2 linked regions of the Caenorhabditis elegans genome follow. The protein of the gene in region 2 interacts with the protein of the main gene of each other region in a pairwise test. Each region holds a gene or a part of one and is shown on either strand. Other genes may lie near its edges.

The links.
Region 1: the proteins of hpo-10 (region 2) and gopc-1 interact in a two-hybrid assay, tested with the Caenorhabditis elegans proteins (one large-scale study listed by BioGRID).

What each region holds. Positions count from the first base shown.
Region 1 is NC_003279.8:14,184,917-14,190,879, forward strand, and holds gopc-1 (Golgi-associated PDZ and coiled-coil motif-containing protein), read right to left. Parts: upstream 4,052-5,963; 5' UTR 3,980-4,051; coding exon 3,881-3,979; intron 3,378-3,880; coding exon 3,279-3,377; intron 3,215-3,278; coding exon 3,104-3,214; intron 3,058-3,103; coding exon 2,737-3,057; intron 2,677-2,736; coding exon 2,543-2,676; intron 2,485-2,542; coding exon 2,346-2,484; intron 1,934-2,345; coding exon 1,769-1,933; intron 1,721-1,768; coding exon 1,620-1,720; intron 1,021-1,619; coding exon 945-1,020; 3' UTR 712-944; downstream 1-711. Other genes in the region: ZK849.1 (PDZ domain-containing protein), read right to left, coding at 1-108, 602-679.
Region 2 is NC_003281.10:5,877,636-5,883,171, forward strand, and holds hpo-10 (SAC3/GANP/THP3 conserved domain-containing protein), read left to right. Parts: upstream 1-1,870; 5' UTR 1,871-1,975; coding exon 1,976-1,980; intron 1,981-2,190; exon of another isoform or gene 2,191-2,209; coding exon 2,210-2,294; intron 2,295-2,343; coding exon 2,344-2,843; intron 2,844-2,912; coding exon 2,913-3,294; intron 3,295-3,417; coding exon 3,418-3,549; intron 3,550-3,595; coding exon 3,596-3,739; intron 3,740-3,793; coding exon 3,794-4,255; intron 4,256-4,306; coding exon 4,307-4,537; 3' UTR 4,538-4,795; downstream 4,796-5,536. Other genes in the region: mig-21 (Abnormal cell migration protein 21), read right to left, coding at 1-114, 159-403, 453-617; F01F1.2 (COX assembly mitochondrial protein), read left to right, coding at 924-1,068, 1,125-1,229, 1,301-1,394, 1,440-1,581; F01F1.14 (uncharacterized protein), read right to left, coding at 4,796-5,010, 5,055-5,108, 5,156-5,288.

The sequences.
Region 1 (5,963 bases), on a different chromosome or scaffold from region 2:
ATGGGCTTCAGCTATGGCACGAAGCTCCACGAGCTCCTGGAGACACTCCTCACGCTCCTTGATTGCCAATTTCTTAGCGGATTCTTCACTGGCGGACAAAGTGCAAACCTGGAAAAATAGTTTGTGATAAATTAATAAATTATCGATTTTTCTCGTCATTGCCAAGTTTTCAATAACCGAGAAAAAGGAGTTTTGAAGTAACTATTGGAAACTTTTCAAATTCCCGCCACAGTTTTGTACCGGGATACCGAAAAGTCGATACATTATCGATTTTTTCTAAAATTTTTAAACTACCGCCCGACCGGGATTTTAAAGAAACTTTATACTAAACAAAATTCAAACCGTTTTTCGATATTTCGAGCCGGATAGCTAACAATTTTCACAAAAATCGATGATTTCTTACTGATTTTCAAAGCGAAATTTTTAAATTCCCGCCTGACCACGCCTACTTTTAGTCAGCGGAATATCGGAGTGTCGTTGGAGTGCGACGAAAAATCAATAATTTTTTGAATGACATTTGCCGGAAAACTGACATTTTTCCAAAAAATCAATATTTCTCCCAGAATTTTCAAATTCCCGCCCGACCGGAAGATCATATTACCTGCGTAAAAACATTCGAAATTGCCTTCAAATGGGTAATCCAGTCGTCCTTCTCATCGGAAGCCAGCGCCTTGGACATTGCCGTATTGAAGACAGCAGTAAGACGATTGATTTGTTGACACGTCATTTATTGATTTTTTTGCGGAAGAAAAATCGATAAACTCAAACAATAAAAGATTTTTATGCAAAAAGTTGGAAAAAGCCAAAAAAAAATCCAATGAGTTGGAGGAAATGACGTGGCAATTAGGGGGAGGAGGAAAGTCACGGGAAAATATACAAAAAAAAGTTTTTTTTTTGAAAAAAAAATTAAATAAAACCCGTCAAAAAATTCCACATTTTGGAGGTCACGTGCTGCGTGATTCATCAGAATTGTTGGACGATCGGCTTGACGTGGGCTCTTCCATACTGTAGAGGTTGTAGCTAAAACAAAAATTTAAAAATTTGACTGGGAATTCGAATTTTCTGTTGAAATTTGGCCGAAAATTTGAATTTCCCGTCGAAAAATTAACTAAAAGGTTGAATTTCCTATAGAAAAACGACAAAAAATTGGAATTCCCCGCCGAAAAATTCATTAAAAAGTTGAATTTCCCCCAAAAAATAGGCTGAAAAATTGAATTTCTTGCCGAAAATAGACAGAAAATTTAGAATTTTTTGTCGCAAATTGACTAAAAATTTGAATTTCCTATAGTAAAACGACAAAAAATTTGAATTTTCTATTGAAAAATGACCAAAATTTTGATTTTCCAGTTGAAAAATTAACTAAAAAATTAAATTTCCAGTTAAATGTTAACTGAGAATTTGAATTTCCTCCCTAAAACTGACTTATAACTTGAATTTCTAGCTCAAAATCAATTGGAAATTTAAAAATCCCGCCTAAAATTAACTGGCAATATGAAAATCCCGCCAAAAATTAACAGAAAATCAAAATTTCCAGCTGAAAATCGATTGAATATTTAAATTTCCCGCTAAAAACTAACTGGAAATTCAAATTTCCCGCCGAAAAATTCCCAATAACTCACATAGATCCATCGCTGTGCTCGATCGTCACCGTCCCATCATCATCACTATCCTCATCGGGGCACACAAAGACGAGCTCCAGGTCTAGGTCGCCTTGCTGTACCTGGAATTTGGAGGGGATGTAGGTGGAGGGCCCCTGGCAGCATCTTACCTGCCCACTCAAAATATCCACTGCCTCCTGATGCTTGACAGTCCGAAGATCGTAGCCGTTTACTGAGAGAATCGCGTCGCCCACAAAGACCTGTCCACATCGGTCAGCAGGCTGTCCCGGCTGGATTTCAGATATCACTATGGGTAGAGCGTGTTCGGATCCTCCCTGGAAATGGATTTTAGGATCCAGTAGGATTTTTTAAGATCTTGAAGAACTAGGATCCATCCGGAGCTCCGCAAACTATCTGGAGTAGTTTTGAGCTATGCAGCAGAACTACAAAAGCAGGGGTTGTCAGAGTGTCTCATTTTAGATTGATCTACATTGATCTACAAAAAATGCGGGAAAAGAGACGCAGACTTTTCAACTGACTGGGAGAAAAATTCCCGCATTTTTTGTAGATCAAACCGCAATGGGACAGCCTGACACCACGTGCAAAAGTACCTCATAATCAGATGGCACATTTGGTCTTACGGGAACTGGATCAACTCTCAGATCTTACAGGATCCCGTGGATCCCCAAAGGAACAAGTCTAGTCAATGATCTACTGGCCCAAAACCATCCAAGTCCCCCCACCTACCGTAATAGAAATGCCGAGCCCTTCGTGCGGGTGTTTCGAGAGCACCACTTTCCTGCTCTTTCCCACTCCATTTCGTTTTCGGAGGCTCTTGAAGTTGTGACGAAGTGGCGCCGTTAATCCCTTCGTGTTACCCCGTCCTCTGCAAGAATGGCAAATTGTTCAAGTGGGGAGCGGCCATGGGAAACGTGACCGCCTACCTGCAAGCCCGGATCACTGTCTTGTGCCTGTGGAGGTGAATTTCGGCTTCCAGCTGGTTCCAGAGCCTGTCGTGCTCCACGCCGCGCATGTTTCGTCCCAGGAGCTGGATTTGTTGTATCCGGCCTGCGAGTTCCTGGAAGATTAGGGTATGTAAAGCCTTGAAGCCTTAAAGCCTTAAAGCCCGATGGCCTACCTTATCCAGGTACTTTGCCGCCAGCCTGGCCCCGAAGACCTCAGTCTCCAAGGCCTGAATCGTCCGTTTTGACCGATCACACTCCTTTCTTGCAATTTCCAGCTCACAAACCGTGCTCAAACCCTGTGTAAGCTCTGATCGAAACTGTGTCAGCTGGGTCTCCAGCTTCTTCTTAATCATGTCTGACTCATGCGGCGCCGTCTTGGAATGCAGTTGGCATTGTAATGAGTGAACTTGGATCATCAACTGCTCCACTTCCTTCTCCATGCTCTGTCGAGCGGCGCGGGCTTCCACGACCTCGGCGCGCATTGTTATCATTTCCTGAAAAAATTAACAATCCAACTTTTTTCAGCAAGCCTAAACTCACCTTCTCCTGTTTACTAATTGTGTGCATCATGAACTGACACTTGTGCATCATTTGTGCAAAGCAGGCGCTCAATGACGTCATCTTCTGCCGGCCCTCGTAGGTGATCTCAACCTGGATACGTTAGGATTTTGTGGACCTGGGCTTGATCAGGTGGCCTGAAGTTCTAAGCTCTTACCTGGTCCGAGTCGACTTCTCCTAGCAGGAGATCCAGTGAGACGAATGCTTTGTCGAAGTCTTTCTCCAATGATTCTGTCCATCCTGAGCCACCTTCCATCTGGAAATTTTGAGGTTTTAGGGGTAATCAAGGGGAGGGCAGGGTTCCGATCAAAGTTTGGCTGAGTTGAAAGGATCAAGGATCCCGGCTAGTCATTAGAAAATTTGACGGCTCTGGCTTATATGGCCTAGCTGAGCAAACTGTTGTGAAAAGAGCCCTGATTTGGAATAAGGAATAAGATAAGCTGATCGGACCAAAAATTCGGGCCTAAATGGGCAAATACTTGGATAAATATGATTCAGGCTAAGCTGAAAAGGGCCCGGTCCAGTCAGTTGTCGTTTCAGACTAGGCGGGAAGTTTCAAGGTACCGGGCCTAGTTTAGCTCAACAATGATAGGCTTCATAAGTCTAGGCTAGTCAATGGGAAATCTAATTCGAATTATTGGTTTCCAAGAACGGATGGATCAAGGATCCGGGTTTAGCTAGGCTTGGTAGACTCAAACCAAGAGGATAAAAAAGCCGGGCTTGACTAGGCTTAGAACCTAGAAAGCCCAAATCACTCACCGCAGAAGCTTCACACTCAAAATACTCAGACTCCGGGTCCACCCTAAGCACAGTCTGGGCCTGAAGCCTGGCGCCAGAGCAAGCCGCACAATGGCTCATTTTTTTAGTAAAACACTAGTTTCGGGGTGATGATGATGATGATGATGATGATGATATGTGTGGAGAACTGGGTGTGTGTGTGTGTGTGTTTGTTGGAATAGGGTGGAAAAGAGCCGTCGGGGGACACCGGATAATCCAATTGTCGTTTTCTTCCCGTCTTTTCTAGAGAAAGGCGTCGGGGGGCTCTGTGAGGAATAAGAAGATGCCTCGCTCGTTTTTAAGAAAAAAAATGGGGTGGGAATGGTAGAGAGAGAGAGTGGAAGAGGACGAAGAAAAAGAGAGGAGGGACCCCAATTCCGGGAGCTTCATGTGTGTGTGTGTCAATGGGTATACTTTCACACCAAATCAAAAGTTTTTCGCATTTTTGTTCCCTCTTTGTTGCACAGTTGAAAAGTATACGATAATTACTTTAACTACGAAATTGGGGGTTTTACTCCGACCTATGGGTGTTCTACACTGACCTATAGGTGCTAAGTAGACCTGAATGGTTTTGATCCGACCTAATAGGGTTTTACTTTGACTTAACGGGGTTCTAGTCCGACCTAAGACTTTAGAAATCTACTCCGATCTAGGAGTTCTAGGATCTACTCTAGGCCCTTCCTTGACCTAATGAGATTCTACTTCAACCCAAGGACGCTCTGCTCCGATCCAAAAGAACTTTACTCCGGCCCAAGATTTTAGAAATCTACTCCGATCTAATGTTTTTAGGGTCCTATTCCGATCTAACTTTTGAGGTTCTACTCCGACCTAAGACTTTAGAAATCTACTCCGATCTAGGAGCTCTAGGATCTACACCGGCCTAAAGGGAGCCTACTTTGACCTAATGAAATTTTACTTCAACCCCAAGGGGTTCTCCCTAAACCTAAAAGTTTGAGACTCTGCCCCGGCCTAAAAAACTTTACCCCGACCTGAGATTTTAGAATTCTACTCCGATCTAAGATTTCGAGATTTTACTTTGACCTAAGCGGATTCTACTCCGACCTAAAGTGATACTGTTTTGACCTAAGATTATTCTTTACCGAACTAGGGGGTTATACTCCGCAGAGTCCTTGTCCGACCTATTAGGCTTCTAGTTCGACCTATGGGGTTTCTAGTCCGGCCTGAGAATGTGGAATTTTTACTCCAACCTAAGATGAAGCTACTCCGATCTAACAAGATTTTAAGGTTTTTTTTAAAAGGAATCCACCTTCTTTGAGTTTCTACCCCTTACGACCTAACACGCTATAATTCCACTCGACGATTTTTTGGCACTTCTATTACTAGCCGAACACTAACAAGCGGTAGTAGTTGAAAAGTATCCGATAATTATTATCCCCGCTTCCTTTATATTGACCACTATTCATCTGAACGACTTCCTCTGCATGCTCTCTGCGCAAAGCTAATTCAATTTGGAGTCGCCTTTTTGGAATTGGTTTTTAATGGAGGAAGCTTGATTTTTCCATTTTTTCAACGTCTAATGAGTTGAAAACAAAGTGGGATTTTGGGATTTTGTGCTCATTTGAGAGCCCAAGCTTGCCTAAAAGTATGACGGGACCATCAGAAGGCTGAATTTTTTTTGTACATTATGGTAAATGGAGGCACTATCTGGTTCCGTGGGGTCATGGTGCATTGGATCATGGTATATCCTATCCTGGCTTCTAATCCCAATGCGTTTACAGTCATGTGGGCTTGAACGGGCCTAGCTGAGCTTGGACAAAGTTCCTTGACAGTACGGGTCGACAAGCTTGACAGTCAGAAATTAGGCACTTGTGGGCTACAGGTGCTCGTAATTATTTTGAGAGTTCTGGGCTTCCGGACTTTTACTAGGCTAATCTAAGACAACTGGGCTCTAATCTTCTGGTCAAACAGTTTCCCTTTAGATTTTAAATATCTGGGCTTCTCTACGGTCCCTTTTTATTAGAGCCACAAGCTTACGGGACTTCACTACAAGCCTAGTTAAATTCCAAAGAATATCTGGAACAAAATTCAGCATTCTGGAGCCCGT
Region 2 (5,536 bases):
TTCACCCAATCTGTCCATTCGGACCATTTTTTACTAATTGGACACTCATCTGGGCGGCAATCTTCGTAATCCTTGTCACATCCCTCGCAGGAATTACCTTTGCAGTGCCGAGTTCTGAAACTTGGGTTACTGTACATTTCCCAATTGTTTGAACCTACCGTATCCTCAGGCTACGATCACAATCGCATCGAGACCATGGATTCCAGGATGTCCAGGATCCAAAAAGATACTCCGGTACATTTGAAGAAATTGCACAAGATTGCTTCTCAACTTTCTGGCCAGAACAAGTGGTACCAATTGGTAAAGGATTATTACACGTTCGTCTTCTTTTTCGGATACCTTCTCTACATTTCGACCATTTTGACCACGTTGACCAACCTCCTGGACGGATGCAATTCCAAATCTGCATCAAAATTTTATTGAATTGGTTTTTATCTTTTTGAATGTAGAACCTTAATTTCTCCGCCTTGTTTCGAACATTCACAGAATATACCATTATTAGATGCACACTTATTAGAGACAACTTGAGAATATAAAATGCTAGAATCATTTAAATTAGCCAACGAATATGAGAAATTGACGAAAACGAAGATATTAAACAAAACCATGACAATCATTTTCTATGAAACTCAGTTCTTACTGAATAAGTGAAATTTCTACACCCATGTTTGTTTCTCTTTTCAGATTTCGACATTCCTTCTCCTTTTCCATCTTTCAGATGTCGCCAGATGGCAGGGTTACTGTAGAAAATTTCACTTTTTGCAGTGTTAGAGTCGCGCTCCATTGCTACGCGTGAGAGATAAGAGACGGCAAAGATCTTTTTTTTTTGTTTCTCGGGCGCTATCATTTTAACTTTTAAAACTAGTAAATCTCATGATTTCTCTTGAAATTTCCATTTATAAATTTTCAAATTTACAGCTAGAATGACGGAAAATAAAGTGAATATCACTGATAACCTGGAAACCTTAAAGGAAGGCGAAATTGTGACAGACGAGAAGACCGGGAAGAAATATCGTGTCAAGAAAAATATTATGCCACATTATTCAGCTGGAGGACCACATGGATTAGGTAATTTTTAAATCAGCTTGCGGTTTTTACCATTTAAATACAATATTTGTTTTCAGGTGATCCAGAAGATCGGACTTTGAGGAAAATCGAGGCAGATGTGATTATTCCGAATAGAATGAATACCCAAATCGAAAGAGTGGATTGCAACGAATCTTATTTAGGTTTGTGAATTATTGAAATCATAAAAATAAAAGCACGATTATATAGAGTTCTATTTCTACAACAATTTCAGGACTCATCACTTGCTTTCGAACCGACGGTGCTGTTTCTGGCTTGAACACGTGTAAACCAGCTCTAGAACTCTTTAATCGATGCAAATATGAAAAGTCTGGTTATTTTAATGTATCTCAAAATAACAAGAACATATTAAGATTCCACGATCCAGCCTTCCGAGCAAAAATGACTGACGAGTACATTGCGGAACGATCGGCAGCTCGAGCTACTGGAATGACATCGCAGCAACGGAAAATTGAAGAGTTTCGGGATTGGAAGAAGACAAATGAGCAAAAGTAGAATTCTTTCTTGTTTTTCATAGTTAATTGTTTCCTTGTTTGTAGAATCAAATACAATCCATTTCTTCTGGTTTTTATACTTTTTATAGTTATTATTGTCAAGTGTTCGAGTCACTATATATTATCTCATATTCTTACCATTTCTTCATTCTAAAAATATTATTTCCAAAAACTCGTTAATTCATGAATTATTCTTTCACTTTACATTTTATTTTTGCCAGAGAATATAATAGTGCAACGACGCTCCGTTGAAAATCGATACGCGCTCTGTTTAGTTGCCAGTAAACTACGAAAACGCTGGTCCGTTAAACTTTATTGATTTTACTCTTTTAACGTTGTACGCAAAATTGAAAATTTTCTGCTAAATAGTTATTTCTGTCTGTTCTATTTCAGATATGGGGTTCGTTATTTTCTTTTTTAATTCTGAATGTGATGTTCGAAGTCGATATGTTTCGCACAAAAATAACTAAAAATTAAATAGTTGCTATTTAAAAAAGTAGGCAGCACCATTTTTTCAAACTAAAGTACTAAATAAATGCTAATTTGGAATTAACTTTTCGACGTGAACTTTTTTTGTCGAATATTATTGATTTTTCCTAATCTCCTTCAGTTCTTCTTTTTCTTTACAGAGAAGAAGTTATGTCAATTCCAGTGCCAATGGAGACAGGAGCAAATTCCGAAGCTTGGAAAAAAGCGAATGAAGCATTAATGAAGGTTTGTAAATATTTCATATGAACAGTTGTTTCAATTTGTAATATTTCAGATTCAAGGTGGAATGTCGAAAGGACTGAATGCATCGAATGGTAACAACAATACAGGTCAGAACTCTTGGATGAACAACTCGTTTTCGTTCCCAAATCCCCCATCCGCTTACGGTCAATTCGGTGGTGGTTTTCATCCATCCACGTGGGGCAGCGGACCGATTGTCCCACCACCACCACCACAACAGTCGGCGGTGAATGCAACTGCTCAAGCAGCTTATAACCAAGCATCTTTTAATTATGCACCACCACCACCACCACAGAATTGGAATAACGGGTACGGAAGAGGGCGTGGCGGAGGAGCCAACAACTGGAATCAGCAACAGAGACCTCAGCAGTTTCAGCCATTTGCCTTGAACAGAAAGAATAATTCGTCCGCATTTCCGCATCTAACTAGCACGTTCGTACCGCAGGGCGGAGGTCCACAGCCATTGATGGGAGTTGGTAGAGGACGCGGTGTTCCAGCTCCAGGACCAGCCAAGCCACCACCTCCATCAGCCCAGTAAGTTTTCAATTAATTATCATCTTTGTTTTTATTGTTGCAAAATTATTCAACATTCTATTTTTTCAGACGGTACATGGAACGTGCTTTCGAGGCGGCGAACACTGTCGAAGATCGTCAAAAAACTCAAGAATACCTTCAGAAGAGACTTTTCCCTATGTTGAACGCAGGCAATGCTCACATGGTCAACTGGGACAATGAACCGTTGCCCCACGAGAAAAATTATGAGCTAGCTCCAGCGTGGACGCCAGCTAATAAGCTTCCACATCAGGCTAATGGATTTAATAGAAAAAAGTCGCCATCGCGACGGCGTAGTGATGAAATGTCTAACAGCGGTGCCGCTGGTGGTGGAGGACAAATGAAACGGGCTCGTCGGGATAGTGATGGGGCATCTTCTGATTCTGACAATAGCGATCCCCTTGAGAAAATGCACTTTTCTTCTATGAATCAGGTTTCGATAAAATTAGATAGGGAACTGGGTGGTGTATTTGGGCACGGAAACTTGAGTAGTTCTGCTGAAATTCATACTTATAATAGATCTTTAAAATTACTAAATGTGACTAATTCCATTCAGAAAAAGACAAAGGCTCAGAAAAAGGCTGAAAAGGCAGCGAGAAAGGCGGCTAAGAAACTGCAGAAACAACAAACTCCGCAAAAAGTCAAGAATGCTTGGAAGGTAGCTGGAGGGGATACTGAGGCTCGGAGGGTAAGTTGGATTAACTGAATTTTTCATTTTCTCGAAGTATTTACAGGAAGATCGTGCTCGTCGTTTTGCCGAAACTTTGTACAATGTTTCGAAGCCATCTGTGAGTGTGCCTCAGCACTATTTCAGACGAGGACAAGTGATTCGTGGAACTTGCCAGAATATTGAGAAATCCTTCTTCAGATTGACAGCTGTAAGTTTATATAGGTTTCATTTTTCAGCATCATTAAACCCAAGCTTATTCCAGGCTCCAAATCCATCGGAGGTTCGGCCACTGGAAGTTTTGCGCCTTTCTCTTCAAAATGTACGTGACAAATATCGTGCGAGAGCAGAGTATTCCTATCTGACAAGTCAAATGAGATCGATTCGCCAAGACTTGACGGTTCAAGTGATTCGCAACGAGTTTACAGTCGAAGTCTATGAAATAAATGCTAGAATTTCGCTTGAAAACGCGGATCGAGAAGAGTTTAACAAGTGCCAGTCGCAGTTGAAACTTCTCTACTCGGAAATTGAGAATTGCGCGAATCAGGCAGAGTTTGTAGCTTATCGTCTGTTGTACTACATTGCTATGGACAATCAAATTGATATCAACGCGCTGCTCCGTGAGCTAACGCCGGAATTGAAGGAGAATGACTGTGTTGAATTTGCATTGAATGTTCGAAAAGCTGTGACTATGAATAATTATGTCAAGTTCTTCAGGCTTTTTAAGGCAAGTTGTGAATTTGACAATTTTTAACTCTTTATAAATTCCAATTTGCAGAATGCTCCACGAATGTGCCCGTACATAATGGATTTATTTGTTGATCGAGAGAGAAAGAAGGCACTCGGAATTATCACAAAAGCTTTCCGACCAACAATCACGTACAAATTGATTGCGGAGTTTCTGAGTATGAAGGAGTCGACACTTATTGATTGGCTCGAGGAGGAACTGAAATGGACTGATGTCGAAGTTGGAGGAACATTTGATCCAAAAATCCCAAGAAACATTTGAATAATTTTTTGTTTTAACAATTTCATCCCATTCTCAATCCCCTCGTCCCGATCCTTGTGTGATACTTCTTCGGTAGCCAACTAACTGTTGATATCCACTTTTTTAATTGTGTTGCTGGTAAAATGTTTAAAAATGCAAAATTAGAATAGAGCTCTATAACATTTATTTGTTTTTGTAACCGTAAAATATGTTTTCCATTGTTGAAACTGAGATTTTCAGGCAGTCATGCGTGTTAAGAATAAAAATGTAAAATAGTAATTAGTGAAGGCATTTGTTTTCATATCCAGGGCAAAATGTGAACAAAGCGGTTTGAAGTCGTTGTGGACGATCTGTCCAAAAGTTGTTGCAGTAGGTATCATATGATTCTCGATGTGTAGCACAGAATTGGGATTCTTGAGAAACTCGGCGCTTTTGTATGGGAAGTGCCACATCGTCACGGAGGCCAATACCAACGAATTCGGTTGAGAGATCATCTAGAAATTTCAAGAATTTAACAATACAATTTCAATTTAAATACCTCGAATTCCAATGAGCGGAAGTGTAACAACTACATTAATCATGACGAAGAATGCTGGAAAAGAAGTTGATCATTTTGTGATTGAATGATGGAAAAGTTACCGATAACAGTGATAAGGAAGGAGTTGGAAGAAGTAGACATCTTTTTAGGATTCTTATTACTTTCTGGACTGTTTTCACACTTTTTATATTTTTTTTTTGATTTGAAGAGATGAAATGAAATGATCCACCCCATTTTGATCGGATGTGAATTTAGATGGAAAACAAAATTTTGTACTTTTTAGTTGAGACACGACCGGTTATGAATGATATTGGAAGAGAAAAGATCGAACATTTGAAGGAAGAGAATTTGTAGAAATGGGTGCAGAATGTACGAAGTTCATGTGAACAATGGAATCGGAATCTTGCAATCTGAAAAATGTTTTTGTTTCTAGAAAATTCCATCACATGTCAAAACTAAGGCTGTAAACGTTTTCTGAGTGT